2 linked regions of the Rhinolophus ferrumequinum genome follow. The protein of the gene in region 1 interacts with the protein of each later gene in a pairwise test. Links are inferred from orthologs where the notes say so. Each region holds a gene or a part of one and is shown in the gene's direction. Other genes may lie near its edges.

What was found.
Region 2: the proteins of BBLN (region 1) and CEP290 interact in binary tests that used the Homo sapiens proteins (3 or more experiments, as listed by UniProt). The two-hybrid records come from large-scale screens. The link is inferred for Rhinolophus ferrumequinum from reciprocal best matches to the Homo sapiens genes BBLN and CEP290.

Annotation. Positions count from the first base shown.
Region 1 is NC_046295.1:77,092,895-77,108,564, forward strand, and holds BBLN (bublin coiled-coil protein), read left to right. Parts: upstream 1-7,659; 5' UTR 7,660-7,800; coding exon 7,801-7,879; intron 7,880-10,578; coding exon 10,579-10,751; 3' UTR 10,752-11,061; downstream 11,062-15,670. Other genes in the region: CIZ1 (cip1-interacting zinc finger protein), read right to left, coding at 12,118-12,336, 12,665-12,786, 12,975-13,044, 14,579-14,734, 14,936-15,049, 15,527-15,614. UniProt on the Homo sapiens protein: Essential for intermediate filament organization in intestinal cells, interacts with intermediate filament and regulates intestinal lumen morphology.
Region 2 is NC_046293.1:80,224,201-80,239,273, reverse strand, and holds the start of CEP290 (centrosomal protein of 290 kDa), read left to right. Parts: upstream 1-8,649; 5' UTR 8,650-8,865; exon of another isoform or gene 8,866-9,023; 5' UTR 9,024-9,100; intron 9,101-9,385; 5' UTR 9,386-9,413; coding exon 9,414-9,515; intron 9,516-9,657; coding exon 9,658-9,735; intron 9,736-10,792; coding exon 10,793-10,862; intron 10,863-11,156; coding exon 11,157-11,203; intron 11,204-13,461; coding exon 13,462-13,605; intron 13,606-15,073. UniProt on the Homo sapiens protein: Involved in early and late steps in cilia formation. Its association with CCP110 is required for inhibition of primary cilia formation by CCP110.

The DNA of each region.
Region 1 (15,670 bases):
TAGACCCAGCCTTACCCACCTTCCCAGTTTATAACAGGGATTGTTGGCCACTCTGCCCCCTGACTTTCAGAGTCTGGAATATTTCATCCAGTGATCCAGGGCACTGCCCCTCCCCTAGTTAAAATTCTTTGGGGCTCCACTGTTAGTTTCCTCCACATCCAGAAGTCACCTCAGGCTTGAAGATACCTTTTAAGGTCAAAGAGAGTAGCAGGGGAGGAGCCCTTGGATGGCGGGTGGCCACTGGCACCTCTGAAGGGCACGCAGCTTTGGTGGCAACATCGTTCCCTGAAGCTTTGTTCATCTCCACTTCCTGTTCTTTCATCACCCAGACAGGGAAGCAGTGCAGAGCCTAAGGGGACCTCTTTGCCTTAGGATGGTCAAGGCTGTCCCCTACTCAACAGCTCAGGACCCTGTCCAAAGCCACTTCTCTTGGAGCCTGCCCCCCGCCCCCCAGAGCCCAGGCTGGGGGTGCTGGTTTCCTAGCAGCAGGTGAATAGAGCCAGTGGGGCTCCTGTCAGTTCCCTTAAGCTGCTGAATCCTCAATTCAGCCTCAGGGCAGGTAGCTAGACAGCCTCGGTCCTCATGCTGACATCTGGAAGACACTTCCCAGGGGCTGGGACCCGTCACCACCTCCCAGGGATGGCCAGACCCCCAGTGAGGAAACTCCTCTCTAGGACAAAGCTGGGATCAGCTATGGTAGGAACACTTCCAGGGCCCAGGCCTGGGCACCAAGGCTGTGGCCAGAGATGGTGCATAGTCTCAATGACCTGTCAAGGATGAGACCAAGTCCTTGCTCTTTCTGTGACCCAAAGCACTTGGTGTCCAGAGCAGTAGTGTAGAAAGCTGGCCTTCAGGCCCCAATTCCCGCAGGTTACCTCACCCAGTGCAGGTGTGCCCCTCATTTCCCACCCCCACCAGCATGGAGCTGGGACTGCAGCCTCCATGCTATTTTATGCGGCTGAATTGCCCAGCTTGGGGTCTGTGTCCGGAGGGGTCAGCTGCAAATGGGGCATGGAGGGTGGGAGGGGCCAACTCAAGGCGGGAGCCCTCCCAGGTCTGCCTCGGGGAAGGGAGGTCTCACCCTGTGCCAGTGCCTGTGTGGGGCCCCTGGGAGGGGCAGGATCTGGGACCCGTGATCTCAAGCAACACAGAGCCCTTCTCTGTCACAAATATCCGCGTTTAGCTGCCCCATCCTTCCCTGTCCCTCAAGAACCAGGAAACGGGGGCAAGGCATTGTTTGCATTCATCAGGTGCCAGGAGTGGGGGCTCTCGCAGCACAGAACCCAGCTTGGCCTTGGGCTAAGCAGGAGTTCCTGGCGGTCAGAGATGATGTCTCAGCCAGATTAGGACTCCTGACTATGAACAGGGCCAACCAGAGAGGAGGGAAGGGGCAGAGAGAGCATACTGGGGGAGCCTTTGTCCTTGCCAGAGGTGTGGAGCTCTGTGGAATGTTCCTTCACGACTCCCCTGGACTTCCTGTTCCTCCACCTTGCACAATCCTAACCATGAGGGACAAGAATCCTGCCAAATGTTTCGGCAGGAGTTGCGGTACTTACCTCACTCTTCCTGAGTTTGGCAAAGGATAGTTCACTCCACCCTGGGGTGAGTCGGCAAACAGGGGGACCATAAATAGGGTTCCCTCGGCCAGCCTCCTCACTTACCTCCTCCTCCTTCACCACCTGCAGGCCCAGCAGCTGCCCAGCTTCTTAAGCCCTGAAATCATGCCCCGAGGTCTCCTGTGGCTGGGCTTCTCCCTGCTGGGAGCCCTGCAGATCCAGGCCCAGGACGCCACCCCAAACCTCATCCCAGCCCCTTCTCTGCTCAGGGTCCCGCTGCAGCCCAACTTCCAAGATGATCAGGTAGGGAAGGGGCCTGGAGGGGCAGCTGGGAGGGTGGGAGCAGAAGGAAGAAGAGGCAAAGAGTCCTAGGAAGCAGGATGGGCCCAGGCTTCAGCTCAGAATGCCCTTCCGTCCCCTGATGGAAGCCATGCCCCGTGCCCCCTTACCCACGCCGACTTCACTGATCTTCCCTGGTCCACACCCTCTCCCTTGTCTCCATAGGACATGCAGGATGGGAATATCTTCAGTCCCTCTGCATGATAAGGAAACTGAGGCTCAGCGGGGCCAGTTGGTCACTTGCCAAGGGTCCCTGCCAGACTCGGGGCTCCTTCCTGGTCTGACGGCCTCTAGCTCCTGCCCGATCCTAAGGGCCCCGTCAGGAGCCCTAGGGCCCAGGTAGAGGGGCTCGTGGGGCCCACTCTGCCTATCACCACCCTCCCTGCAGTTCCAGGGGAAGTGGTACGTGGTGGGCCTGGCGGGGAACGCATTTTCGAAAGAAGAACAAGGCAAGTTTAAGATGTACTCCACCACCTACGAGCTGAAAGAAGACCACAGCTACAATGTCACCTCCATCCTGCTCAAGTGAGAGCCGCTTCCTCCTGGGGGAGCATGGGGACCTGGGGGGCTGCCCTGGCAGTGCCTGAGGGCAGAGTGATGTCAGGGCTAAGGGGCGTTGCAGGCTGGCAGGTAGTCCTCCCTCCATCTTGCTGCTCGGTATTGGATTTATGTATCTGTTCCCTTCTTCATTAAATCAGCATTTACTGGTCACTTCAGTACAGACATACAGAGAGTGGTAAGGAGGGCCACAGTCCTCAGGAAACGAGACAGAGGGAGCAGGGGTGTCCTGGGTAGGAAGAGGCTCACTGGACCCAGCCTGGAACCCCACCCAGGACTTCAGTTGGGGGCTTCCAGGGAGGTGGCTTCGGGCTGGGCCCTGAAGAAGCCAACCTACCTTGGCAGGACATGTGGGGGGTTCACAGCAGAGGCTGGTAGACTCGAAGAGAGCCTCTCCTTCAGGCAGAAGCATGGCATTGCCAGGCTGCCCTGGGCAGGGGCTTGTGAGCAGCCTGGAGGGGGGCAGGTTCCACAATGCCAGGGGCCTAAGGCACTGGCACCCCAGGGAGCCGGTGAGGAGAGGACTGGCGGGACACAAGGGCTCACCCAGCTCCTGTGGGTTTCTGGCTCTCGCACCTGGGGGATTGGGGCTAGAGCACTTGTGGAGCAAGAGGCAGGAGAAGAGCGGGTTTGGGGAGATCAGCTTTGGGGTGCCAGGGACAGGGTGAGAGGTCAGGGCTGGCACAAGAGCTAGGGGAGTCCATGGCATGGAGCCGACTAGAACCTTGGTAGGTCAATTCCCCAGGAGAGGTCACAGAGAAGGAAACAGAAAGATAAGAATAGGAGACAAATGCCTGGGGTGCAGAGGATAGTATATAGGGAGGGCCACCAGGGGGAGACAGTCCTGAAGACAGAAGGACAGTGGACGCTGGAGGGAGGGTCTGAGCACGTCAGCTAGCCCAGACGGGCTCAGAGGGGGAGACCTGGGCCTCCTGCTGTGGTAGAGGATGGGCTGGCCCCTCCAGAATCAGAATCCTGGCCCCTTCAGCTGCAGCCTTGACCCCCACTTCATCCAGCCCAGGGGGTCCACGCCTGTGTGTCTTCCCTCTCACCCACACATCTTTTACCGCCACAGGAACCAGAACTGTGACTACTTTATCAGAACTTTTGTCCCAAGTTCCCAGCCTGGCGAATTCAACCTGGGCAATATTAAGGGTGAGTCCTGAACGATGTGGGCCCTGGGGTTGGAATTCCTGGGGAGCGGGATCCGCCCAGAGGGGACACAGACCTCCCTGTGCCTCCACATAGATGCTGTCCTGGGCGGGGAACCGGGTAGCAAGGAGCTGCTCCATCCTCCCAGCCAGGGCTGACCCCTCTCTCCACCCCGCAGGTTACCCGAATCTAAAGAGCTACACTGTGCGAGTGGTGACCACCAACTATAATGAGTTTGCCGTGGTGTTCTTCAAGGCAGTTTCCCAAAACCAGGAGAACTTCAAGATCACCCTCTATGGTGGGTGTTCACCCACCCCGTCCGGGACCCAGCTCCTGGTCACACTGGAGGGGCTCACCCCCAACCAGCCCATCAGCTTCGCTCCAAGCCCTGGGGAGGAGAGAGGGCTTTCTGCAGACCCTCCATGAGGAAGGGCGCTGAGGCTCATTTGTGCACTCAACAATATTTATGGAGTGTCTGCCGGCCACTTACGGCCATCTTGGCCACAGGGAGGACCAAGGAGCTGACCCCTGAACTGAAGGAGGACTTCATCCGCTTCACCAAATCTCTGGGCCTCACTGATGACCACATCCTCTTTCCTGTCCCGATCGGTAATGGTCATTTGGGGAGAGGAGAAAGGGACACGGGGCCTGTCCACATCTGACGCTGCTCCAGGAGAGAGGAGGGCCTTGGTCCCCTGCTCCAGTCACTGGAGCCACTTTGGGTTCAGGAAGATCACGCACCAGCTAGGGGTGTGTGGAGCCCCCCGGGTTCTGGGCCCCACGTGTTCTTCCCTGACAGATAACTTGGGCCTGCCCAGATGAGAGTTTCAGGCCCAGGTCCGAGTTTCCCCAGTCTCACTGCCTGGGGCCACCTCCCTTTTGCCCCATGTCCTGCTGTCTTGGGGCACCCCTTTGTCCTGGGCCACCTTCCCCTACACTCCAGGTTCTGCTGTCCTGGGCCACCTCCTCCCTCATCCTGGGGTTTTCCTCACCACTGACTTGGGAGGTACATTTGTCTTCAGGCGGCCCGCCCTGGGCAAGGGGCTCCAGCCAGGCACTCAAAGAGCCACTGGGCAGTCCCAGCCTGAGGGGCTGCCAGGGTTCATCAGGTGAACGGGCAGGAGGTCTGGGTGCCCAAGCAGGTAGCTGGGGCTCACTTTCCTCCTCTAGAGAACAGGTGACCCCAGGTTTTTTCAGGCCTTTCTCCTAGTTCCTTTCCCCATCGTCTGGCCCTGTTGCCACATCCCTGAAGGGAACTCTCAGGTCTGTTCTTGGGCCAGGCTCGGGCCTAGGGCAGCCTGGGGGCAGTGCAGGGGCCCTGGTGGTCAGGGGCCACACACACACACACACACACACACACACACACACACATTCCTGTCCATTCTGATGGACTCTCTTCCCCTGCAGACAAGTGCATCGATGGATGACGAATGAGCATGCGGTGAGTATGGCTGGGGAGGGGACTGATGGCAACCAAGGTGAAGCAGGGTGAGGGGGCCTCAGGACTGCCTTTGCTCCCCCACCCAACACTGCTGCCACCTTTACTCCCCTGTGTCCTTCTCAGGTGCCTCCTGTTTCTCTCCACCCCCACTGCCCTCATACTGACCTCCGCCCAGGATGCTACCCAGCTGCCCCTACCAACCCATTCTCCAATCAGAGAGCCAGAAGATCCTTCTCACAGTTTGGCCCACCAGCTGCTCCCCAGGCCACCCTGCGGATGGAGTCCCCCCTCAACTGCTAAATAAACACATGCCCCCAAACTCCCAGTCTGTGTTCCTTGATCGCTGGGCCATCTGGGAAGGGGAAGGGCAAAGCATAAGCTCTCGTTAGCATCATTCCCAGACTCCCTTGCCGTCCTCAGTGAGGGTTGGAGGCCACAGAACCCAAGTCCAGCTTTGACTGAACACTTCCTAGCTTCCAGTCCTGGGCCCACCCCCAGACCAATGGCAGCCCTCACATATCCCTGCCTCCAAGGGGTGCCCAGTCCAGTGGAAACACTAATGGGGCCCCACCTCATGCCTTGGCCACTGCAACGGGTCCGATAGCAAAGCCCAGCCAGGACTGGACAGCTGGAGGGGACTGGAGAGGCTGAGGTGCTGTCATCCACAACTCACTAGGACCCCTGTGGATACTAAATGATGGCAGCCGGGCAAGAGGGGTGAACAGTGGGTGGGGCAGAGGCCTGCCCAGCTTGAGGTTGTGTCAGGCAGAGAGGGTCACCAGGGGTGGTCCCCTGCCCCTCTGTGAGCCTCCTCTGGGACCTGTGTTCACCCACCTGCCCCCACTGGGGGGTGACAGTGTCCATGCTGACTGCATTTAGAGCACTGTCCCTCACCCACACCTCCCTTTTATGATGACCTCTGGACTACCAGCAGTAGGGCTAGGGGAGGCGAAGAGGGGAATATGCTGCGAGGAATCCAGATTCCAGAAGGCTTGAGAGCTCCAGGCCTGTACCACCACTTGGCTAGGTCTGTGTCTGGCGCCTGACAAGCCCCTGTCCACCACAGGCTGCAGCTGTAGCCCGTGTTTGTCTGCATCACACACAGGAACTCCCTCTCCGGCTTCTTCTCCCCTTGTAAAGTCAGAGGCCAGAGGGGTGAGCTTCTGAAGAAACCCAGGCTTCTCTTGCACACCTACACCATTCGTCCTTGGCCAGAGAAGTGGGATGAAACTGGAGCTGTGAGCAGCCTCAGCCTCCAGGAAGCAAGACAGGCCTGAGAGCCAAGCCCGACAAGATGCTCCTGCAGCCTCAGAAATCTGGGCCAGACTCCAGGGAGAGACCAGCTTGGTGCAGCCGGGGCTGAGTGAGGGATGGGGCTATGCCCACGGCCAGAAAGCCCCACACCAAGAAGGGCACCCAGGGGGCAACTGGCCAGAGCCCCACTAGTTGAGGGGTGGAAGCTGCACCAAGCCAGCCTGGCCTTGGACTCCGATTTGGGCAGCAGAGACAGTTTCTCTGCCTTGACCCAAGCAACGCAGCTTCCCGTCACCACCCGGGGCTGCTGGGCCTTCCAGGATCAAACTGTGAGGACACAAATGGGCTCTGTGTTTTCCCCCAGGGTCACCTGGTTTATTAGTTTCCTATTGCTGCTATAACAAATGACCACAAACTGGCAGCTTAAAACGACACACATTTCGGCCGGTCACTGACATTTTTTGGGCAATGGTTTGGCTGAGGTCTCACCTCTACTCAACCTGATTCAAAGAAAAGAAGGCACTGCCCATATGCAAGTTAGTGGTGGCCCTGATTACAGGTTGTGGATTCAACCGCACTGCCACCTTCCTCAGGTGAAATGGTGGGACAGCTTCTGGGACAAAGAAGATCCCTCTCCATTATCATAGTCAAGGAACATAACTGTACCTGACCCCTATCCCGAGGGTGGCCTACCAACAACCAGTGTGAGATCAGGACCAGGCTGCAGCAGCCCTGGGGTCTCTTGGTGGTGAAGCTACTGTAGTTCCAGTAAGTGAGCCCTTCTCCCCTGGGACATGGGCCTCACTCAAAGCTGGGCCCCTGGCGGCGCTCACACCGCAGCTCAGGAGCGACTCTTGCAAGCTGGGTGATTTGGGACAGGCCTCCCTTTCCCAGCTGGTAAAAGAGGTGGGGAATGATGGCAGCCTTCCTTCACCAACAGCCACATGCAGCACTCTGCCACACAGACCACGACTGAAAGAAAATTTTCCTGAAGTCATAAGAGGACCTTAGAAACCACACGACTCAGTTTTCGCCCACCGGCAGGCGTCGGCTCACCCATCTGCAGGTCCCCAGCGGCAGGAAAGGACAGGGCGAGGGTCCCAGGCTGCCCCGCCGTCTGCCCAGCTCGCTCGCCCTTGCTGAGGACCCGAGCCTCCACCATCTAGGTTTCTCGGCGGGCAGCCCCGGTTTGGCCTCACCCGGAGGCTGGGAGAGGAGCGGGGCTCCACTGCTAGGCAGCGTGGGGCGGGGCTCTGGGGCGGGGCCTGACGGTGGGCGGGAGCGGAGTTCTGGTTGTGGGCGGGGCGGGGCGGAGCTCGGGCCGCGAAACTCCGGCCTTGAGGGCGGGACCCCGGCCGCCAGGCCGCAATCGGAGGCGGGGTTCCACCCTTCCGGCCCTGAAGTCTATCGGTCGCCTCCACCTTCCGCCCGGCGCCGGCTGTCGGCGTGACGGTCGCAGTGTTTCATCGTCTTGCGGCCCTTGCGGCGCCCGAGCCCGCAATGTCGGGCCCCAACGGGGACCTGGGCATACCGGTGGAGGCGGGCGCGGAAGGAGAGGACGACGGCTTCGGGGAAGCAGGTGATCCAGGGGGACTGCTGAAACGACCTTTGCTTTCTCAGTGGTACCTTCCTGGCAAGGGGAGTAGGTGCGGGGATAGGGGCTTGGAAGGGACCGGAGAGCCCTCTCAACACCCCCCGACCCTGGGTGGGTTGCAGCTGCAGGTGCCGTCTCTGGGTTCAGGGCGAGCACCTGCGAGTGCGTCCCTGGAAACGGCAGCGGCATTCGAGAACTGTGGACAGCCCCCCCCCCCCCGTTTTGCAGATGGGGAGACTAAGGCCTCTCCAGGGACACTCGCCTTTTTGAGATTTGCTCCAGCCACTTCGTTCAGCCCGTGTGTGGACGGAGGCTCCTTAGGGGGCGGGGCCGGTGGACCTTCCTGGCTCAGCCAAAGGGGCTGTCTGGGTGGGCGCGCCCGCCTTGCTGAGTCAGCATCCCCCACCACCTTTTCTGGTGTGGCCTGGAGCCCTAGCGAATGTGACTTGCTTACAAATTAGCATGTTTCAGTGCACAGCACTGCGGGAGGTGGGAGGGGAGGTTTTGTGAGAGAGAACCATCAACTCCCTTCGCACCCTCTGGAGCCCCAGTTTCCCCATCTGTAAAATAATGATTAGCGTCTCCTGCATTGAGATGTGTCGGGATGAAATAGAAAAATGAATGGAAAATACTTAGTAGGTTCCTAGCATACAAGTGTTCAGTAAGTGGTTGTTCTCTTTAGTGTAATAAAAATTGATGCGTTAACTTAAGAGTGCAGGACTTAGTAAATGTGGGGTAAGTATGGAATCTGTGTTTTTTGTGGTGACAGCTTTATTGAACTATAATTCACATACTATCCAATTCACCCATTTAAATTGTACAATTAGTTGGGCTTTAGAATATCCAGAGTTGTGCATCAATCACTATATTAGTTTTAGAACACTTTCATCACCCAGGGTTTGCATTTAATAGAGGTTGAAGACCTCCCACAGGGGTAAGTGTTTGGCTGGCCACTTTGCCCGAGGCACTGCTGGTGAGCGGTGGCCAGATGTGTGTAATCATGCTGGCACTTGTGGTGGGAGCGTCCGGAAGGGCCTCCCAGGAGTCACATTGAGTGGATGCTGGCAGATTCACAGGTCTTAGCACAGCGGGAGGAGGGAGGCAAAGGCTTGGAACTGGAACATACCCTTGATGCAAATAAAACCTGCCCCAGTGGTATGGAGACACCCATCTCCCCCATCCTCCTGGCTGTGTCTCAGGACACAAAATGTGACATGTTGATAATGACCACCTATTAAGTACTTTCTGTGGCCAGACTCTGAGTTCTTGATATATTTGAGACCTCACAGATACCTAGTTCTTTATCTCCCTTTTCTAGAAGGTGCTGTAACTTGCTGAGATGGAGCAGAGCTGGAGCTGAAACCCAAATGTTCCTGTTCCCCAAGTTGGCTCTGCCACCTCCGTGGGCCTTGGTTTCCCTATCTGTGCCACAAGGGGGTTGGATTGTAAGATCCAACAGACTTTCCAGGACTCTGGCCTCTGTGAGGTGTGCCAACTCCGGGTCACGGGTGCTCTTCCTCCAGAAGGCACACTCATTCGCACCCATATCCCAGACACTCTCTTCCAGCCCTGGCTTTTTCCAAACACTGTCAGCCACTTCCCCTTTGTTCCAAGCTGGCAGTGGAGTGTATCTGAGTCATGGGCTGGCTCAGAACTGGGTCCCGCAGTGGGCACAGGCCCAGACCTTGGGTCCTAAGGGACATTGTGTTGCTGAGAGAGGCAGGTCGGGATTGGCTGTGGAAGAGGAAGTGACGGTTTCTGGTGGAGACCATGGAAGTCTTCTCGGAAGAAGAGGTATTTTGAGCTGGTCCTTAAATGGCTGTTGTGGTTGAGGCCTTCTGGGCGGCAGGGACAATTTAGCAAAGGGAGAAAGGCTGGAAAGTTAGAGGCTTCATTCATTCATTCATCCATTCATTCATTCAACAAATGTTTATTGTGTGACAGTGGGGCCTCAGGGAAACAGCAGTGAACACAAGACCATTCCACCTCTCACAGAGCTCTATAGGGGAGCCAGACCAGCACACAGATAATCACAGCAGTCAGTCCGGAGGTGAGGGCCATGGAGGTGTGAGGAAGGGGATCAGGAAGAGGCCTGGTCCAGTCTGAGAGCTCCCTGTGGCGACATCCATGCTGAGACTTGAAGGATACGTGGGACTCATCCAGGAGGAGAGTAGAAAGACAAGACACAGTACATTCCCGGCAGAAGCAATGGCATGTTCAAGGGGCCTGAGGCAGGCAAAGGCAGATGTGAGAGTGGAAAGGCAAAGGCATGGGAGGTGAGGCTGGAGAGGGAAGTGGGGCTTTGGAGTCTTCTCGGTGCTTTATCCTGAGGGCAGAGGCCATGGAAGAGCTGGAAAGATGGGCCTGCTTGGGGACAGAGGCCTTGATTGCTCCACTCAGGAATGTGAGCTCTGGCCTCTAGGCAGATGGAGGATGTGGCAAGAACTTGGCATGTGGCAGAACTTCCCAGGCAGGACACTGGCTAATCTCCCTGACCACCGTAACCCTAGAAAAAATGTGGTGTGCTAAAGTATCACTATTATGTCTCCAAAGCCTTTCCTCCTTTGATATCCACTCATTTTCCAGATGGTGACACTGAGGCAGGCTGGGGAATAGATGGGGAAAGGATGTCTGTGAGCCCTGAGGAGATACAGGACCTTGGCTCTCTTTCCTCTTCCTTCCAGAATATGCTGCCATCAACTCCATGTTAGACCAGATCAATTCCTGTCTGGACCACCTGGAGGAGAAGAATGACCACCTCCACGCCCGCCTCCAGGAGCTGCTTGAGTCCAACCGGCAGACACGCCTTGAGTTCCAGCAGCAGCTCGGGGAGGCCCCCAGCGATGCCAGCCCCTAGGCTTCAGGATCCCCCAACCAGGCCCCAACCCTGCCTCCCGGGGCCAGGCTCTGGCCTGGGCACTCACCACCTGACTTAGATACGTTCTTAAGGGCTGGCCTACAGGTCCCCTGGTGGGTCTGCCTGCCTGGGCCACCCTTCAGGTACTCCCCTTGGCGTGTCTGGGCCAGCGCTCACCAGCCAGCCTCCCCTCCTGGGGCCAGGTGTGGGCCTGCGACCCATCTATCTTGCCTGCCTGCCCAATAATTCCAGGGCACTCTCCACTCTGCCCAGGCTTTGAAGGTCCACATTAAACAGGTCTCCGACACCACTGCGCCTCTCTGTATCCTGGGATGACGACCCCTGTGGCTGACAGATGAACAGAGCGGCCAAGACTTTCCAGACGTTGCTCACACGCTCGCGACACGTGGGCTTGCGGTTCTTGGCTTTCGTGTATTTCCAGACGTAGGGTGCAGGTGAAGTCAGGACTTCCTCCCCACCTGGTGTGCTCCTGGCCAGCAGCTGCTTCCCCAGCCAGGCTGAGACAGCATCGGACATGCTGTGTGACGCTGTGTGATGAGCTTAGCTTCTCTGGGTACTAGGGCTTATCACTAAGACAACCAACACCAAAACATGCTGTATAACCTTGGGCACCGCCCTCCTGCTCTCGGCCCCTCTCCAGTTGGCCAATAATAGGGTTGGTCCGCTTGTCTCTGCAGGGGTCTTTCCAAAGGGGGAGATAGCAGAAGTAAAGATCCAACATAGGCTGGGCCACATTCGCGGATGATTCATTGTAAGGTCAACTGACGAGAAGGGCGTGAACCATGAACTCAGAACCAGAGGAGCAGCGAGGGCCCCCCCCCCCCCCCCCCGTCCTGCACTTAAATTTCCACAGGATCCAGCTGGAGAGAGAGGCTAGGACGGGTGCAGAGCTTCGGCCTGGGGTCACATCCTCGCCACTCACCCGATGTATGACCGTCAGCAAGTCACTTGACTTTGCCAGGCCTTAGTTTCTTCATTTGTAATTTGGAGGAAACAAGAGGTCTCTCCTAGAGTCACCGTGAAGATTAAATGAGACCTTACTTGAAGGTACTTTCCTCGCCCTGATACATTATTAAGAGGGAAAGCAAGGCTCAGAGGTGAAGTGCCTCGTGATCCCAGGTTCCCTGGTTAGGCCGGTTCCGCCCTCATACTGTCTTGGAGGCTGGGTGCTGGCTGGGGTGCTCCCCGTCCCGTCTCCCCACACACAAGTGCTGGTGGGCACTATACAGCCAAACTACCTTTTATTGGATTTTTGAGTAAAAACACCAACCGTGTCCAAGTTCATGCAGACTCCTAAAAGCACAGATCTGGACCCAGATGGGGTGGGTGTAGGGAGCTCCTTCTATCAGGTTTTGAGGCGGTTTGAGCGCCGGGGTGGTGGGGGCTGGGGGGGCTGGGCCGTCACCTTGCTGGGGTGTTTGGCTGTGTCCTGGATGCCGGGCTGCGTATGGGAACGGCCGGTGGAGGTGAAGAGAGCAGTCAAGGCGTTCCGGGCGGTGATGGCACACCGGCGGCTCACGGGCCTGGTGGTGGCGGGGCTGGGCTTCTTGGCCTTCTTGTATTTCTGGACATAGAAAGTGTGGGTGAGGCAGGGCTCTCTCCCTCCTGGTGTGCTGGCCAGCAGCCGCTTCCCCAGCCAGGCTGAGACAGATTGGACGTGCTATGTGACCCTGTGTGATACGCTCAGCCTCCCTGGGCCAGAGCTCTGGAGCTAACCGCCTGTCCCTCAGCAACCCCCCGAGAACGACAGCAGAAAGAGCCCGGCCCCACCCCAGCTCTGTCCCTCCGTGGGCAGGGCCTCCCTGTGGAGTGTCCCTGGGGCTGAGGTCAAGCATAGCGGGGAGGTGGCCATTGGCCATCAGCCCCATCAGCTCGAATAGAGTCTGAGTCACCTGCAGGTTCTCGAAGTGGGCCAAGGACTTGCAGTGGGAGAGCTGCGCCCCCGAGGTGCTGTGGTAGAACTTGTGGCAGATGTGGCAGACATAGCCCATCACAGGTACCAGGAAGTCCACACCTGTGGGACAGCAGGGTCTCTGTGTTCACATCCCCCACGCCAGCCAGGTGTCCTGCCCTGTTTAGGGGTCCATGTGCTCTCCCACCCTCCAGGTGGGAGAAGAGAAGACAAGGGGATAGGCCAGGATGCCGTGGCAGGGATCTGGGTGGGGGGTCCCCTGGAGGTTGGGGTCAGGGCTGGGGTCTTACCATATGCAGTATTGGGGCTGTAGGTCTCTGAGCCTTTCCACTCCTCTGTGGATATATCTCTGGACCTCACCTGGAAACATGCAAGTGTGGCCTCGGATCTGGCTTCCCCAAGACCCCACCCCTTGAATGCAGGTCGGGGGCCAGGAACCCGCCCATGCTCTTGAACACAATGTCCCCTTGATTTCGAGGAGGTTGTGGGTGGCATTCTCTGAGCCTTTGCACATGCTGGTCCTGCCTCCCGAGTGCCCTGCCCAACCCATACTTCCTAGGCTCAGCTCCACCAGCCCCCTCCTCCAGGAAGGCCTGCTCCCACAGTGGCCATACTACGTGCCAGGGGTGCCCAACGCATCACACACGTCATCTCATTGAATCCTCACAACCTGCTATAGTTCACCCATTTTGCATAACAGGAAACTGAGGCCCAGGCACATGAACTTATTTGCCTAGGGTCACACAGCTGGTTTAGGGAGGAGGAGGGTAGTGAACCCTGGTGGACCCCAAGTCTTGGTTACACTTTTAACTGTGAGCACCCTGCCAGGTCCCTAAGGTCCTACCTGGTGCTGCAGTGACCTCATTCCTGGGGAGTGGGTGGGTTTCAGGTCACCTAGGACCCCTCATTTCACCTGCTGGACATAAGCCCCTTCCAGGTGAGACTGTCTGACTCCAGCACATCAGCCCCACCACGCCTAGCAGTGCCCTCCACCACGTACCAAGCAAACAAACATGGTTTTTAAGAGTGGCGACCACTTCCATTTGCTACCCTGGGCTGTGGCCCTCCCTCACAGCCCGAGTTGGGGCTATTACTTCTGAGCAGAAGAAACTGAGACTCAGAGAGGCCAAGGCGCTTGCCTGGGACACCCCTGCTGACTGCCGGATACCAAAGCCAGCTTCACCCCTAACCTGCTCGGGGCTGCAGCCCCTCGGTGTCCCCTTTCTGCTGCCCCGTCATCACCATGGACTGGAACAGGTGAGCTCTGTGAGGGCAGGGGCCAGGCCTCGGTCCCCACGTAGCTCTGGTGTCAGGCACTGGGGCAGGGCCTGGCCCAGAACGGGTGCTCCGGAAGCATTTGTTAAACTGAAAAGAATCCACCATCCTCCAGCTTCTCGCTCATGGGAGGCAGAGGGGCGGGGGAGTTCTGAGCACAAGCTCTGGAGTCGCATTTCCTGGCATCCAAGTTGGTAAGATTCTGCCAGGAAAGTGCTTGATACATGCCTGGCCTACAGTAGGTGCTCAAAAACTGTCGCCTGCTCTCGCTATCACCTTCATCATCCTCTTACACTGACTTGACTGTATACACCACATAGCTCCCCCACTTACTGAGGCTGTCCCCTCAGCCAAGGTGTCCTTTCCCGTCCTCAATTCAGAATTTCAGCCGGACCTTCGAGGCCCTCACATATTTCACCTGTCACCAGTCACTGTGATAATATTTCCATATAGTCATCTAGCATACAGTTCCTATTAATACTCAACTGTGCCATGTGGTAGTGCCTACAAATGCCAGCACAGTGGCTCCTGCTGGCCCCGGGAGATGGAAGGAGGTTCCCCCCTGGGCTGGGAGTCCAGCCTCCAGCCTGCCTCCCGAATCCCCTCCTCCCCCAAGCACCTGTTTGCAGAATTCCTCGTCAACCTCGATTTCTTCTTCTTCTTCTTCTTCTTCGTCCTCCTCCTCTTCCTCATCTCCCTCAAAGCAGCCCACAGCGTCCACTGTGATGAAGTGGTCCTCATCTTGGCCAGCTATCTCCTTCTCGAGCATCTTCAGCTGCCCAGGGGAGTGGGCCAGGGCTCAGGGAAGCTCAGGGCAGCCAAGGTGCCACATCCCATGCACCTCATACCCCTGGGAATTCCAACGCCTCCAGACCTGCTGTGAGCTCAGTCTGGGATAAATCTCAACTTGCTGTGTGGCCTTGGCCAAGGCTCTGTACCTCTCTGGGCCCATTACCTTTGAGGGAGCTGGCGTTACCTCCTTAGCTTTGTCCTTGTGCCCTTGGGACTTCACGTGCTCCACAAACTTGCGGGGGGTCTTGAAGTAGCGGTTGCAAACAGTGCAGAAAGGTCGCAGGGACTGTTTGGCGATCTGGGGAAAGAAGGGCAGGCCAAGTGGGTGGCGGGCAGTGTCCCCAGGTGCAGCCAGCGAGACCTCGCTTCCCACCTGCAAGCCACCACATCTGTAATCAGCTGGCTGCGCTCACCCCTGTACCAAACATGGGCAACATGTCCCCTCCCTATGCCTCTGGCTCCGAGGTGGGATGGCAGGTGGCAACAGACAGGACAGAGAGAAAACAGGGAGAGAAGATGAGCACCAAGAGGAGCCCCACGAGCCCCATAGCTGAATGGCATGGTGAGATGGCACGTTGCCCACCCTGAGCAGAGGGAGAAACTGAAGCCCAGAGAAGAAACATGACTCTCATCGAGAAGCCACACTTTAGAGTTATGGCCATGCAGAGACAAAGGCTGACACTGACCTTCCACTCCCAACCGGGGCGCCCTCCCCTCCAGCCCTCGGCTTGGAGACAGCACAGGGGGTGCCTTCGCAGCATGTGTGCCCTCGTACCTTGTGGTCCTGTGTCCTGCGGTGCTGGATCAGGTCCCCCATGTAGTAGACGCGGCAGGTGTTGCACCAACGCCTCAGCGGAGGCTCTCTGAAGAATAATCAAAACGAGTAGTGTGACACTATGTTTACTGGAAAGACAGCAGT
Region 2 (15,073 bases), on another chromosome or scaffold:
GATAAAAATCAGGTCTTTTGTAGAGATATGCCGGAAACCTCCTCCCCATAATCATCTCAGGTCCCTGACCAGGTAACATTTGGGAAGACAAAATTGCTGTTGGGTTAAATGTTTTCACCATAGGAAAGTTTAAAATTAATAGAAAAAAACGAAGTAAATTAAACCTGTAACTTTTATACTTTGAAATTATATTTGGGAATGACATGTATTTGATTTTTAGGGTACTTATAATGTTTAAGAATATTTGCCACACACCTAGACTCTATATATATTAGCTTTTAAAATTATCATTTAAAATACAATATTATGTGTATAAAACACATACTCGTAATATTAAATTACTGACCGTGCATTTTCTGGATTAGGACTTTTAGTTAAAAAGTGAAAGTTTACAAATAGTATGGGGATTTTTATAACAACTTGGGAGTTGTTATAGTGTTAAGTTTAATTTACTGGCTTTATAAAAGTGGTTTAAGTTTTGAGAAAGTTTTGCTTGTTAAGTCAGGCAAGTGAAGTCTTTGAATAAAAACAATTAGAATTCTACATGCAGTTTTAAATTAAGTCTATTTAACCAAGTTTTAAATGTAGCTGATTAATAAGGAAGGGCATTTAGTCCTTTCAATTGGAGTTACTTGCAATTTTTTTTAAAGTGACATGTTACTTATAAACATAATATTTTTAGGTTGAATTTAAAGGCTGAAAGAACACAAGGTTATAAAAATGTTACTTTAAGAAACTTGGACAGAGCCCATGATTTCTAAATTCAGTTAGGTAATAAAAAGTTCTGCAGTCACTTTAAGTTGCAAAACAGTTTCAGTAATTGAAATGCTCAATTCTAACATAATAATCAAAACTCTGCATTTGATTCCACTTTGGTATTGTCCTCTGCCCCAGGCTTGGGCTCACTGTAAATGAGAAGGCTGTTGTCATGGAATGGGGATGTGGTTTAGTCTTCTCTTTATTTACCTAGAGATTGTACTTCACATTATTGTTAAACATAGTTTTTGAATAACTACAGTTAGACCAGAATGGAGAGAGAAAAAAAAAAAAATCAAGAGCATCCTTAACTACTATACTCATCAATGAGACTCTCACAGATGTTTGAGGGTTCTTTGGGGACAAAAGCCCACATCACTGGGGACTGTCACCTGAAGTTCCTTTTATCTCTATTTCATCTTCCTTCATTAGAAGAGCTCTACTGCCTCCTTGCAAATGGGTGATATCCAGCTTTTCTTTGCTGTGGTCCATTGGCACCTACCACCCCTACCTCTAACCTCTACTCCCACAGGTGTCTTTTTTGGGCAGAACGTCAGATGACTCCCCAGCTGGGCTCATGAGCATGCACTAGCACCAGCTCTCTCCCTTTTTCTCGTTACTAAACTCCCTTGGTTAATCTTTTTAAATTCTATTATCTTGGCCCTTTATAAACTTGGTATGGATGCGGGGTTTAAGAAATACCAAGTGGGTTGATTAATGAGGTGCTAATCTTTATCGAGTGGACGGTATTGTAAAATGTTTATTATTCATGATGACTACTATTACGGTAAGTTTTATGTGTCAACTTGTCTAGGCTACAGTAGTAATACTACCGTGTTTCCCTGAAAATAAGACCTAACCGGAAAATAAGTACTAGTATGATTTTTCAGGATAACATCCCCTGAACGTAAGCCATAACGCGTCTTTTGGAGCAAAAATTAATATAAGACCCGGTCTTATTTTCGGGGAAACACAGTACTATTCAAACTCTAACTTAGGAGTTGCTATGAATGTATTTTGTAGATGCAGTTAACATCTACAATCAGATGACTTCAAGTAACGGAGATTATATTCCATAATGCAAGTGGGCCTCACCTAATCAGTTGAATCACCTTAAGAGCAAAACTGAAGTCACTCTGAGGAAAAAACTCTACCTCAAGACTGCAGCATCAGGTCCTCCTGGAGAGTTTCTAGCCTGCCAGCCTGCCTACTCTACAGATTTTGGACTCACCAGACCCATAATACTGTAATTCCGTTGTCTGAAAGAAGTGGCTTTATTTGACATAGATACTGTGTTTCCCTGAAAATAAGACCTAGCCAGACCATCAGCTCTAATGCATCTTTTGGAGCAAAAATTAATATAAGACTCGGACTTATTTTAATATAAGACTCAAACCTATTTTAATATAAGACCCGGTCTTATATAATATTATATTATATTAGATCCGGTATAATATAATATAAGACCGGATCTTATATTAATTTTTGCTCCAAAAGACGCATTAGAGCTGATTGTCTGGCTAGGTCTTATTTTCGGGGAAACACGGTACATATTTCTTCTGCTGGTTGTGCCTGGGGTCACTCATGTGCTTATAGTTAACCTGTCCGATTAAAGCTGGATATCTAAAGGGGTGGGGGTCTCAGCTTAGAGAGCTGGTCTCTGCTACTTGTGGTCATATCCTTTAGTAGGTTAGCCTGAACTTTAAATGGTGATCTCAGGAGAACAGGAGGGCAAGTCTTAATGCACAAGCTCTTTTCAAGTCTCTGCTTAACTGCATTTTTTTTTTTTTTACTATCAACCAAGGAAGTAAACCTAGAATCAATGTGAGAGAAGTTATAAAAGGGCCAAGATAATAGAATTTTTCAAGATTCCCCAAGGGACCATATTATGAGAAAGGGAGAGCTAGTTCTCATGCATGTCGTAAGCTCAGTTGTGGAGTCATCTTAGGCTCTGTCCAAAAGAGCTACCTGTGGTAGAGGGTGGAGGAAAGGGAGGGTGATACATAAGGGCAGAGACAGAGGGAGGCATGATTCACTGGGTGCCATTATTGCCACAACGTAACACATCACTGTTAAATGTTAATTGTGGGATTGCTAAAGACTGGATGTTTGTGTTCCCCCCTACAATTCAGGTTAAATCCTAATGCCCAGTGTGATGGTATGTGGAGGTGGAACATTTGAGTGGTGATTACCTCGTTAGGGTGGAGCCCTCATGAGTGGGATTAGTGCCCTTATAAAAGTGACCCCTGGCCCCTTCTGCCATGTGAAGACACAGTGAAAACACACCCTCTATGAACCAGGAAGTGGGTCCTAACCAGGTACTGAATCTGCTGATCCCTTTGATCTTCGACTTACCAGCCTCCGGAACTGTGAGAAATAAATTCCTATTGTTTATAAACCACCTAATCTAAGGTATTCTGTTAATAGCAGCATGAACAGACTAAGGCAGGGAATTTCAAGTTCTTCTCCTAGGAACATAAGCATATTCACTGATGCATATCTGAGTAGATGGGATGACTAACTTATGTTTGCTTACAAAAATGGGATGTCACTACATATGTGCAAAAAATCCAGCAGCAGATGAAGACCACAATTGTGGAAAAAATAAACCTGTAGGAAAATTTGATCAAATCTAGGAATATTTAGCCTGAAAAGGAGTCTTCTCCATTTAATAATTTTATTTTATCTTTTTGAATAAGAATAATTTACTATATACTATTACTATTTTATAATTCATAAAACCTTGGCCTGCAAAGTCTGCATTCGCACTGATTCTTACTAATCTTTCCAGTCTCCTGAAGTTGAGAGAAGACAAGTGTCTGCTTGTTGCACAATTATTCCTCTCCATGAGAACAAGGCCAAACAAAACACTTACTATACACAGTGGATACTAAATTTCTGTGGCCTTGCATTTTTCTTTCTTTCTTTCTTTCTTTTTTTTTCAGACATGAGAAAAGCAAGCTCATTTTCTTGATAAGGCGCAAAAAGGCAATGGAACTAACATCTAAGGAACATAGGTTGGCTGGTAGAGAACAGAGGTAGCAATTATAAAAAGCAAGTCTTTCTTGTGTAGTGATTTTGGTCAGATAAAACTGCTCATAAAATCAAAAGAAAGAAGGCAGGTCCAGGCAAGCATTCCTATAATAAGGCCATTTATAAAATGTCACATAAATCCCTTCTCTTGGTGAAAACTGACTGATACAGAAAATCTGATGAAAAATAATGGTGAATTTAGGTGATTTTCCTCAAAATTATACAGAGTTGACTGAATTAGATCTTCAGTTAAATTTTTTAATTCAGTTAAGTACAAACATACTATAATGCATTAGGACCTAGACCATAGCTAACTCATTTCTGCTGTATCCCCAGGATTTAGCAGTGTGTACAAGCTCAAAAATATTTTTAGAATAAGTAAAATAATGACATTTAAGCAACATTTTGCATTTTGTCAGGACTATAATTGAGATCTGGGTTGCAATCTTAGCTTCATTAATTATTAGGAAATTACTTAGCTTCTTTGAACCTGTTTTTCACACTTGAAAAATGAGAAAGGACAGTCTCTTTAATAAATTATGTTGGGAAAACTGGACAGCCACATACAGAAGAATGAAACTAGACTCCTGTCTTACCCACTCATTAGATCAGGTACCTTGAGTTGTTGGGAATATAAATGGGAATAAGAGGGTGAGGGGAGTAGAGGGTAGAAAAGACCACTACAAACAAAACAAAACTAGCAGATGAATAAATAGAAAATAATAATTACAATAAATTAAGAAAAATAAGGTGCTGTAGTAGAAATAACAGATTTCTACTATGAAAATATACAGTTGAAGCATAGTATATGACATAGTATGTGCTCAACAAACACTAGATTTCATTCCTATCTTCCCCTGCTAAATTATGAATTAAAAACACTGAACATGAAAAATATTTAATTCAACTTCTTGAGTAAACAAAGTTGCATAATTAGAATATGATAATGTTTCATATAAATAGCAAGATCGATGTACAAGCACTTACTTGACAGTATTGTTTCCCAGCATGCATGAGGAGGCAGCATAGCACTTACAAACGTCCTCCAGCCACAAAGATCTGTGTTCAATCACACTATTTAAGTTTGAACAGAGTACTTAACCTCTCCAAGCCTCTGTTTCTTAACTTAGTTGGAAAATGATGACAATATGGGGTCAGACAATTAAGTTCGCGAACTCATCCTAGAAAAAGTGCTATAGACCTCATTGCTGAATATCACTGTGGTCACCTTCGAAGTACTCCCCTTGGGAAGCTGTGCACCGATGCCAGCACCTAGTCCACCCTTCAAAGCAATTTTGGAACTCTTTTCCTGGAATGGCCATCAGAGCTGTCATTGTACGTATTACCCTTGATGTCCTGAATGTCATCAAAATGTCTTTCTTTCAATATTTCCTTTCTCTTCAGGTAAAGAAAGAAGTCATTGGGGGACCGATCAGGTGAGTAGGGAGGGTGTTCCAATACCGTTATTTGTTTACTGGCTAAAAACTCTCTCACAGACAGTGCCATTGTTGTGATGCAAGAGCCATGAACTGTTGGCGAAAAGTTCAGGTCTAACTCTTTCACGCAGCCTTTTCAGCACTTCCAAATAGTAAAGGTGGTTAACTGTTTGTCCAGTTGGTACAAATTCATAATGAGTAATTCCTCTGATATCAAAAAAGGTTACCAACAGGTTGTGACAAGTTTGCGAACTTAATTGTCACACCTCATATAAGGACCTATTTCATTGGATTGCTATGAAGATTGAATGAGATAATGACAAAGCTATAGCAAATAGAACAGCATGGTATTGGTAGAGTAGGTAGAAAGGTAGAAATGAGCAGGAGAAGGAGGGAACTAGCCCTGGTTATAAGGCCCCTTGCAGCTGCTCCTACTTATCAAAAAGATATGTCCTTAGAAGCAAAAAGAAATGCTGGAGAAGGAGGGAAAACAACCCGGTTATCAGAATGTACATCCTGCTTCTTTGGACCATACAATTATAGTTTGCCCCTTTTTAACGAGCTTCTCAAATACATCATGGGAAATTAATGGGTTCACACTTGCGCCCCAGGAAACAACAGGAAGAGAGGATGGACACACCCGCAGAAAGAGAGAAAGACACTGGACAAGGGGAGGAGGAGACAATTCTACCTATAGAAAGAAAAACCCTCACACAATGTAAGGAGGCTGCTTCCTTCTCTTGGGTCAGCGGGCTCCATGTCTGGGAGTGTACTTGCTTTTACTAATAAACTGCTTGCTGTCCTACGCTGCACCAATTCGGCCTCTTGACTGAATTCTTTCCTTTAAGACAAGAACCGAGGAAAAACGTCACTCCCAGTAACAGTACTGGTATAAAAAACACACACATAGACCAATGAAACGGAATAGAGAGCTCAGAAATAAACAGAGGGACCAAGAATATACAATGGGGAAAGGAGAGTCTCTTTAACAAATGATGTCGGGAAAACTGGACAGCCACATGCAGAATGAAACTAGACTGCTATCTTACCCCACTCACAAAAATCAACTCAAAATGAACGAAAGACTTGAACATAAGTCCTGAGATCATAAAACTCCTGTAATAAAACAGGGGATAAGCTATTTAAGACTGGTTTGGGCAATGGTTTTTTGGATTGGACCCCAAAAGCAAAGGCACCAAAAGCAAGAATAAACAAGTTGGACTACGTTAAACTAAAAAGCTTCTGCACAGCAATGGGAACCATAAACAAAATGAAAAAAACAAAAACAACCAACCTATCGAATAGTAGAAAATATTTACAAATATGTATCTGATAAGGGGCTAATAAACAAACTATGTAAAAGACTCATACAACTCAACAGAAAAGGAAAAAACCCCAAATAATCCAATTAAGAAATAGGCAGAGGAATATCTTTCAAAGAAGACGCAAACTGTCTTAATGAAAAGGTTAATGAAAAGGGGCTCACCACTAGTCACCAGGGAAATGCAAATCAAAACCACAATGAAATATCACCTCACTCCAGTTAGAACGGTTGCTATCAAAAACACAAGAGACGAGTGTTGGCAAGCATGTAGAGAAAAGAAAACCCTGTTTACTGTTGGTGGGAATGTAAATCGGTGCAGCCACTATGGAAACTAGTATGGAAGTGCCCTGAAAATGTATGAAGTGCCATATTATCCTGCAATTCTACTTTTGGGTATGTGTCTGAAGGAAATGAAATCACTATCTCAAAGAGATACCTGCACCCCCATATTCACTACAGATTATTTACAACAGCCAACCCATGGTAAGAACCTAAGTGTCCACCGAGGGCTGAATGGATCAACAAAACGTGGCATATGAACACAACGGCATATTAATCATCTATAAAAAGAAGGAAATCTTGCCATTTGCATGAATGGGCCTCAGGAGTATTATGCTAAGTGAAGTAAGTTAGACAAAGAAAAATATTAACTATCTCACTTAGATGAGGAACCCAAAAAAACAGGATTCACAGAAACAAAAAGCAGACTGGTCAAAAGTTACAAATTTCCAGTTATAAATAAGTTCTGCAAGATGTAATGTAGAACATGGTTTTTTTAAAAAAGATAATGAATAGTATGTGACATACTATCTTACAGTAAACGATTAGACAGAAATGATCATTCTCAGAAATCTGATGACTGTCTTTAAATGTACCTCAAAAATCCGTATTTGTTTTTATTTTCTACTAAGCTATGAACCACCCATGGTTTGGAAAGAAATCTATTATTTATTTTCAAAAGGAAATTTTAGTATCAACTATAGTAAGAAAAACCAAAGTGCTTAAAAAAAAAAAAAAAAAAAGATGAGGCGCTGGTCCAAACAGTTGAAAAATGCCATTTAGATTTCAAATCTATGGCTCCTTAACAAAATTACCTAGTGGTGTATTATACTCCAGAATGGCTGAGAGCAGCCGGATGAGCAAAACTTGCACAAATACGAGTTGTACACACCTGAGAAGGCACCTTCCTAGAAGGGGAGCCTCGGGAACCAAGTAAGTGACAGCAATAGGAATGCTGAGTACCGAGGCTCCTTCTCTCTCCACCCCTAGCAGTGGCCTAGACAAGTTCTAACCTCTCTTTTCTAGAGCCTTCAATCTACACTAACTCCTCAGCCTTCCAAGTCCTTCAAACCGCGAAGGTAAAAGTGCTACAGGTAAGGGGGGCGAGGTCGTAGGATGCGGTGTCGTGTCTTCTCAATCCTTCACTCGCCCCCAAATCAGGACCTCGATTGCACGGCCCCCACTCCACTATACAGAGCCAGATTCTGACACCAAAAAAGGCTAAAACTTCCCCCCTCCCGCCCTTCTTCTTACAGAGGGCACCACCCGGGGCGTCCCTTGCAAACGCCTAAGGAGAAGGCGGGGTCGTCCCACCTCTTCAGACTCCGACAGGGCCCTTCCTCCCCAATGCTCGGAGCTGCTGTAAGCCAGGACCGCTCCCATCAACACCTCCCCCGCCGCTGACCCACACTCTGACTTCACCTGGGAGCAGTTCCACCGAGGGATGGCTTAGGGAAACCTCAGAAAAAACGGGCCAACGAGCGACGCCACCGAAGGCACAGTCATGGTCAACAGTGCAGATGCGCCTCAGTCACTGCGCCTCCCGCCTCCCGATCTTTACCCCGCGGCCCGGTACAGTCGCAGCCTCCCGCTTTGCATGCCGGGAAAGGCCCGCCTCCACTTCTCAGAGACTTCAATTCCCAGGATGCACAAGCCTCCAAAAGCACTGCACTCTGGGACTTGGAGTCCTAAGCCCACGCCCTTCTCCTCCTCCTTAATACAGAGTCCCGGAACTCCTCTGGGGAATCTAAACGTAAAGCATCACCCATAGTCGTGAAATGTAGGCTCCGCATGCATCCGGGGCCTTGTTTTGGCCTTGACTGGGTGGGGAATGGTGTCGCCTAGCAGCCGCCGCCGCTCTTGCTGCTCGGGATCAGTTAGCTGGATCCAGCGTGGGGTTGGAACCGCGCTGGGGAGCGGTCAGGCGTGGCAGCCGGGTCAGGTCTGGTGGATGCGGTAAATAAGGAGCCGCCGCTGGTTGCCAGGCTTGGTGGGTGGATCCTGGTGAGGCGAAGCAGCGAATCTCTTCCCACTCAGGTTCTTTAAGCCTCAGGGCCCACACCAAATAGCCCATCTTCCCCGCCCCTTAGTCTTTGGTCCGCAATGCATCTGCCGTCTCGCTTCAGCCCTGGTTTCTCCTGCGCGACTGCACTCATTTCAGTCGTTTATGTATGCACTTTTTTTTAAACCCACAGTTGCTGCTTTTCCGAATCAAGGGTCAATTTCAGCCTTCCAAGCACTCCGCCCAATTAGGTGTTCGCGCGCCTTGGTGGTAAGGATCATGGAGAAGGGGACTCAGAATCTTAGTTCTGACCTAGATTAGTTTTAGCAAGGGAGCTGTCATACTTTATTTAGCCGATGCAATATCTGATGGTTTGTGCCGACTGCTATATTTTGATCAAGGCTGTTTTGCCCACTTATCGGTTATACTATTAAGGAGCCATAGTTATTTGCTAACACCGAGGTTACAATAATGTAATCTATAAACACTAAATTACTGTAAAAACAGAAACGCTGTTTCCCTTCAAAATGCTAATACCCATCTGTTTTGTTACAGAAGGTAAAGCGTTGTTAAAGAATTCAAGATGCCACCTAATATAAACTGGAAAGAAATAATAAAAGTTGACCCAGATGACCTGCCTCGTCAAGAAGAATTGGCAGATAATTTATTGGTTTCTTTATCCAAGGTGCTTAATTGATAAATAATACGTAGATACATCAACTATGATTAAGTTGTTCCTGAAATCACTGGATGGTATAACTGGAAGAATTCTTATATTTTGCTTAAGTGTTATGTAATATAAAATAGTTTCTTCTCTGTTTACTTAGGTGGAAGTAAATGAGCTAAAAAGTGAAAGTCAAGAAAATGTGATACACCTTTTCAGAATTACTCAGTCACTGATGAAGGTTTGTATGCAGTAGATTTTAATAACAGGTTTGACTATTAGAGAAATTCAAGAATCTGTTCTTAAGTGTTAATCTCTGTGAAAGTACTTTGTAATGTCTAAATCAGCACAAAAAGTAGATCTTCAAATGTGATTGATAATTTTAGTGTGCAAAAACATTGGTAGTTTCTGCTCTAAATTTCCTAAAAGAATGTGTGGGGGAAACAGAATGTGTATGTTTAAAAATAACGTAGGAAGGTCCTGTGTTAATTTTGTTAACAATGATGAGGTAGAAATGAAAAATGCAGATAACTACTATAGGGATTTGTTAGAAAAGGAAGAGATTTATATGTGAGAAGACCTCATAAAGGTCAAAGAGTGATGAGTAGTTTTAGGTAAGTGGAAGGCAGGGGTATAATGTTAAGGAGATTCTAGAGCTGGAGGTTACCATAAATAAAAACTGGTAATGGAAAATGTGTGTATTCTTTATATTGAGGAGACAAGTGCAGAAAGTTTATAGCTGGTCATAGAGGAAACAAATGTTGGGTATATATAATTTGACAGCTTTGTCAAGGACTTGAAGTGATATTTTATGCTGTCAGCCATTAAAGGTTTTTGAGCCACAATGATAGATACCAAAATATGCCTTGGGAAGGCTAAACTAAGTATGTTAATGGGACACATTGAAGGGAATTGAAGCTGTTTAGACATAACATGATGAAGGAGGTTAGACTTCAAATTATGGACTAGCATAATGACAATTAGAATAGAAAAAGAAGGTATAGTAGAAAAGAATAGAAAAAAAGATAATGGAAAACAAAGGGAAAAGTTGCAATACTGGATATAAGACTTGAGGATAAAGAGGAATCAAAGATGTTTCAAACTGTTAAGAATCTAGAAATTATAATCTTAAGAAAGAAAATCATGTATTCATTTAACAAATATTTGCCGAAGATCTCCATGTGATAGACATTGGAGACACTAAGTATTGGGATTGCAAATAAAATCCTTATTTTCAGTGCTTGCATTCTAGTATAAAGGCATATTGAAGTCACTTTTTTTTTTTTTTTACTGTTTAGATGAAAGCTCAAGAAGTAGAGCTAGCTTTGGAAGAAGTTGAAAAAGCTGGAGAAGAACAAGCAAAATTTGGTAAATGCCTTGGAAAAAGTTTATTATGATATTAGATAGTGGATTCCATTTATTCACTAAGCAATAGAGAAATTAACTTTGATGTAAGTCTGTAAAATGTATATACTCAATTTATTTTGAAAGCTGTTTCTAGAACTCCTATTTCACGGGTCTGGTGTAAATTTGTTATTTTTCTCTTATATTACCTTTTTACAGTCACAATGGACTCTTTAAAAATAATTTTATTGAAAAAATTTTAAAAGCTTGTTTTGATATAAATCTGACCAATTGAAACATTTCTTTTTTTTGAAATAGAAAATCAATTAAAAACTAAAGTGATGAAATTGGAAAATGAACTGGAGGTATGTCTTTTCATATTCCCTATGGTGTAATTTGTTGTTAATTTTATTATTTTGAATTATTAGTTTGATAATTTTGATAATTGTTGGCTGTAAAAATTACAAGAATGACACTGTATTCATAATTATTTGTTCAGTAATGTAATAAATGTAAAATATATATTTGTCATGTCTATTATGTACCTTAAATTCTATTAAGAATTGATCATCTAATTGTGAACAAAATAAAAACATTCAATAACCTCATGAAGCTTACAGTTTAGAGAGATATACAAAGGATTACTAGTAACTGAGGTGGAGCAAGGCACATTGGAATTTGAGGAATAGTGACAGAGGGTATAGTAGAAGTAGCTTTTGAGAAAGCCAGGATCCAAAATATGAAAGTATTGTTAAGGAACTAAATACATTTTGAGATTCCTGAAAATGTGGGGAGGAATGTGATACAAATAGGTTAGCCTGAAAAGAAAGAAGGACCTCTTTCCTTTGTAAGAGGAAGGGAGGAAGAATGGATATTTACAGAAGCCGTTGTTTGTGGGTTTAGTGACTGGGAGTTGAGAAGATGGAGAGAAGGTGATCTGCTAACTTTAAGAGTGGGAGATGTGTGGTCAGATTTTCAGGAAGTCAGATAAAGCTTGAGATAATAGTGAAGAATGAGCTGGAGATTGCTAGATCTGTAGTCAGACAATTTTGAGTTCAAATCCTGATTCTTCTATGTATTAACTCTGTGAACTTGGGTGGTTTAGTTTTTATTCCCTACTGTATATCTAGTGTCTAGGGAAATATCAACCATCCCAATAAATATTTATTAAGTGAAGTTTGAAGTCTGATCCATTGTGTGTTACTGTTTGGCCAGAGAGCTGGGGAGAAGAGGAGTCCAGGGATTGTAGGGTCCTGGAAGGTCAAAGGGCAGGTATCGTGGGAATAATGTAGGAGATATTCCTGTTTGGACAAGGTCCTGGTGTGGGGCCTGGGAGTAGGAGGCTCTGCTGAATTCAAGAAGCAAGTAAAAAAAAAAAGTAAGACCAAGCATGAAAGTTGTATACACACGGAAATTGTTTAGAGGGGCTTTTGATGAAAGACTGTGAGCAATATGCCAAAAATTCCTCAATGAACTTTGTGAGTGAGTGACTGGTATGTTAGTAGTTGGCTGCTATCATGAGTAGGTAGAGACTGGAAAGCTGGATATCATGTGAGGTTCAAAGCAGCAGTTTTTACAGGATGGTACAGGAGTGATAGTGTGGAAGTTGGAAGTGGGAATCAACACCCACTCTTGACCACGAAGTATATGGGATGTGAACGAGCACCTCCCAACTGAAGGACTTCCAAAGGAATTAGTATACTAACGGAGCCAATTGCAGTGAAGGCTGGGAGTTGGAAAGGATGATTCAGTAAAAAGGTTGAAGATGTGAAGTATTAATTTATCTTGAAAGGATTTTCAAGAGCACAATGGAAAGCTTTTGGAATGAGGGAAAGAAGGAGAAAAAATTGGTTGAGAGGGATAACAGAACTGTACAGTGAAGTGATCAATGTGAGACAGATTAGATGATCAAAAGATTTGATGTTTTGGACCATGTCCCAAAATAACAGGAAATGAAGCAAAATGGATGTCGTTGGCTTCAGGATTTTCAAGATAAGCTAAGTTTGGGCTGTCCAGTATCATAGCACTAACCACTTGTGGCTATTTACATTGAAATTCATTAAAATTAAACATTCAGTTCTTTAGTTGCACTGGCCATAGTTTCAAGTGCTCAATAGCCACATAAAGATGGTGGCTACTGTACTGGGTGTGCAGAGAACATTTCCATTATTTTAAAAAGCCCTGTTGGATAACACTGGTCTAAATAGTCTGTGGTACGAGGGAAAGGGCAAGTTAAGAGCACCAGAGGTCAATGACTGGGATGGAAGCTCTGGTGGTTTGTAGCCTGGTTTCAGAGCTCTGATGCTCAGGGAGAAGCTAGATAATTCATCACCTATGTTCTATGACTGGAGGGTAGTCTGGTACCTTAGCTCAGAGGCTATAACAGGTCCTGAGTGATTGACAATCAATTCTTCATAGCTCTGGGTGGATCAGGAAAAGCTTAAGGGCTGTCAGCCTGCAAACTAAAGCTAAATTTTTAAAAATGTTTCTTTAGCTAACATGATTTTAAACACCTGATGCTGATTATAATACACATGTAAAGTGAAGATAATTATTTATTGTTGATTCATTTGAATCCCAAATGTAATGGAATTAATTTATACTTTTGTTTTATTACTTTAAGATGGCACAGCAGTCTGCAGGTGGACGTGACACTAGGTTTTTACGTGATGAAATTTGCCAACTTGAAAAGCAATTGGAACAAAAAGATAGAGAATTGGAGGACATGGAAAAGGAGTTGGAGAAGGAGAAGAAAGTTAATGAACAAGTAAGGCACATTTTTTTGATGACTCTTAATTGTTCAATTTACTTAAAAAATTCCTGGTTATGCTTTTTATAATTATTGGTAGCAATATCAATTTTTATGACTCATGTGAAAATTGATGTATTCTTATCTCTAAGGTTTTATATCATAGTTCGTGTTGTCATCACATCTTGAAAGTATATTGGATCAGGTACTTCTAGTGACTATGACTTGGAGATCAATTCTCTATATTTGGAGGTACATTTTTCTCAAGACATTAGAATTGTTTACATAAAGTTGATGATTTGGTCTGGAAAATTAGTATGAAGAAACTAATAGGGATTCAAAAAAATGGATTTTCTTATTTGCCATAGTTTATTTTGGGTGAAAAGATTTTTTGGGGGGTATTTATTAATATGTTAGTATCAGACTTAGAAATTAATCTTTTAATGATGTATTCAATAATGATCAATCAGATTTGTTTTCAGGTATACCTCACCTTATGTAACATACAGGTTCTTCAAAAGTTGTGTGATGCCAGCATTTTATAAATCAATGCATATTTTAAATCACGACATGTTATCTTTTTATACAAACATAGTTTGATATTACCTCTTATATTATTCCTTGTTATTTATAAAATAATTCGTGCAATGTTCACTTAAATTTTGTTTGAGAAAAAAATTGTTTCCTGTAAATAAATTTGTACTTCCTATCAGAAAATAACATCTTTTTATTTTGCCTCAGCTGTCAGTAAACTTAGTACAGAATTTGCTGCCTAATTGTGGTAACTGTCTCATCCCTAATGCCCATAACTGTCCCATCCCTAGTGCCCGTAACTGTCCCATCCCACATGCCCAGAGGATTGTCCTACCTTTGTGTGCTGTAGAAGATCAATGTTGTAGTATATCCTGATAATCTTATTTCATCCATTGTTCTCTTGGAAATAGATGGTTATAAATTTTAAGTAAACAACAGTGATTATTAGGTGCGTTGCTATTTAAAGAGAATCCGTGATAAATTGATTTGTAAGGAAAAGCATCCCCATTTTAATATGTCTATTTTACTGTATAATTTGGAAGAGTTGTAATAGTTATGCTATCTCTACAGTTTTTGCAGTGGAAAAGTATGGAATTGATGCCACCTAAAAGTTAGGATTAAGGTCTTAGAGCATAAGACTCTGTAGAACATAACAAATCTATGGATTTCTTAATAATCATATAGGATCCAACCTATGATATGCAGGAAAATAATTGCTTAGGGGGATATCTGTGTGGTTTTCTGTGCTATTTTTCTTCTGTCTAGCCCATATGTTAGTCAACTTCTTATCATTCGTACCACACACCTTAGCTAATCAGAACTACCTGTTCATTAATATCTTAGGCTAGGTATTATCTTTATTCATAGGCACAAGCACAGAAAATCTGAATGTACGGCGTATGTACCTTTATAGTTGCTAGGTTCCTTGAGATAGAATGTGGGTAGGAGTTGC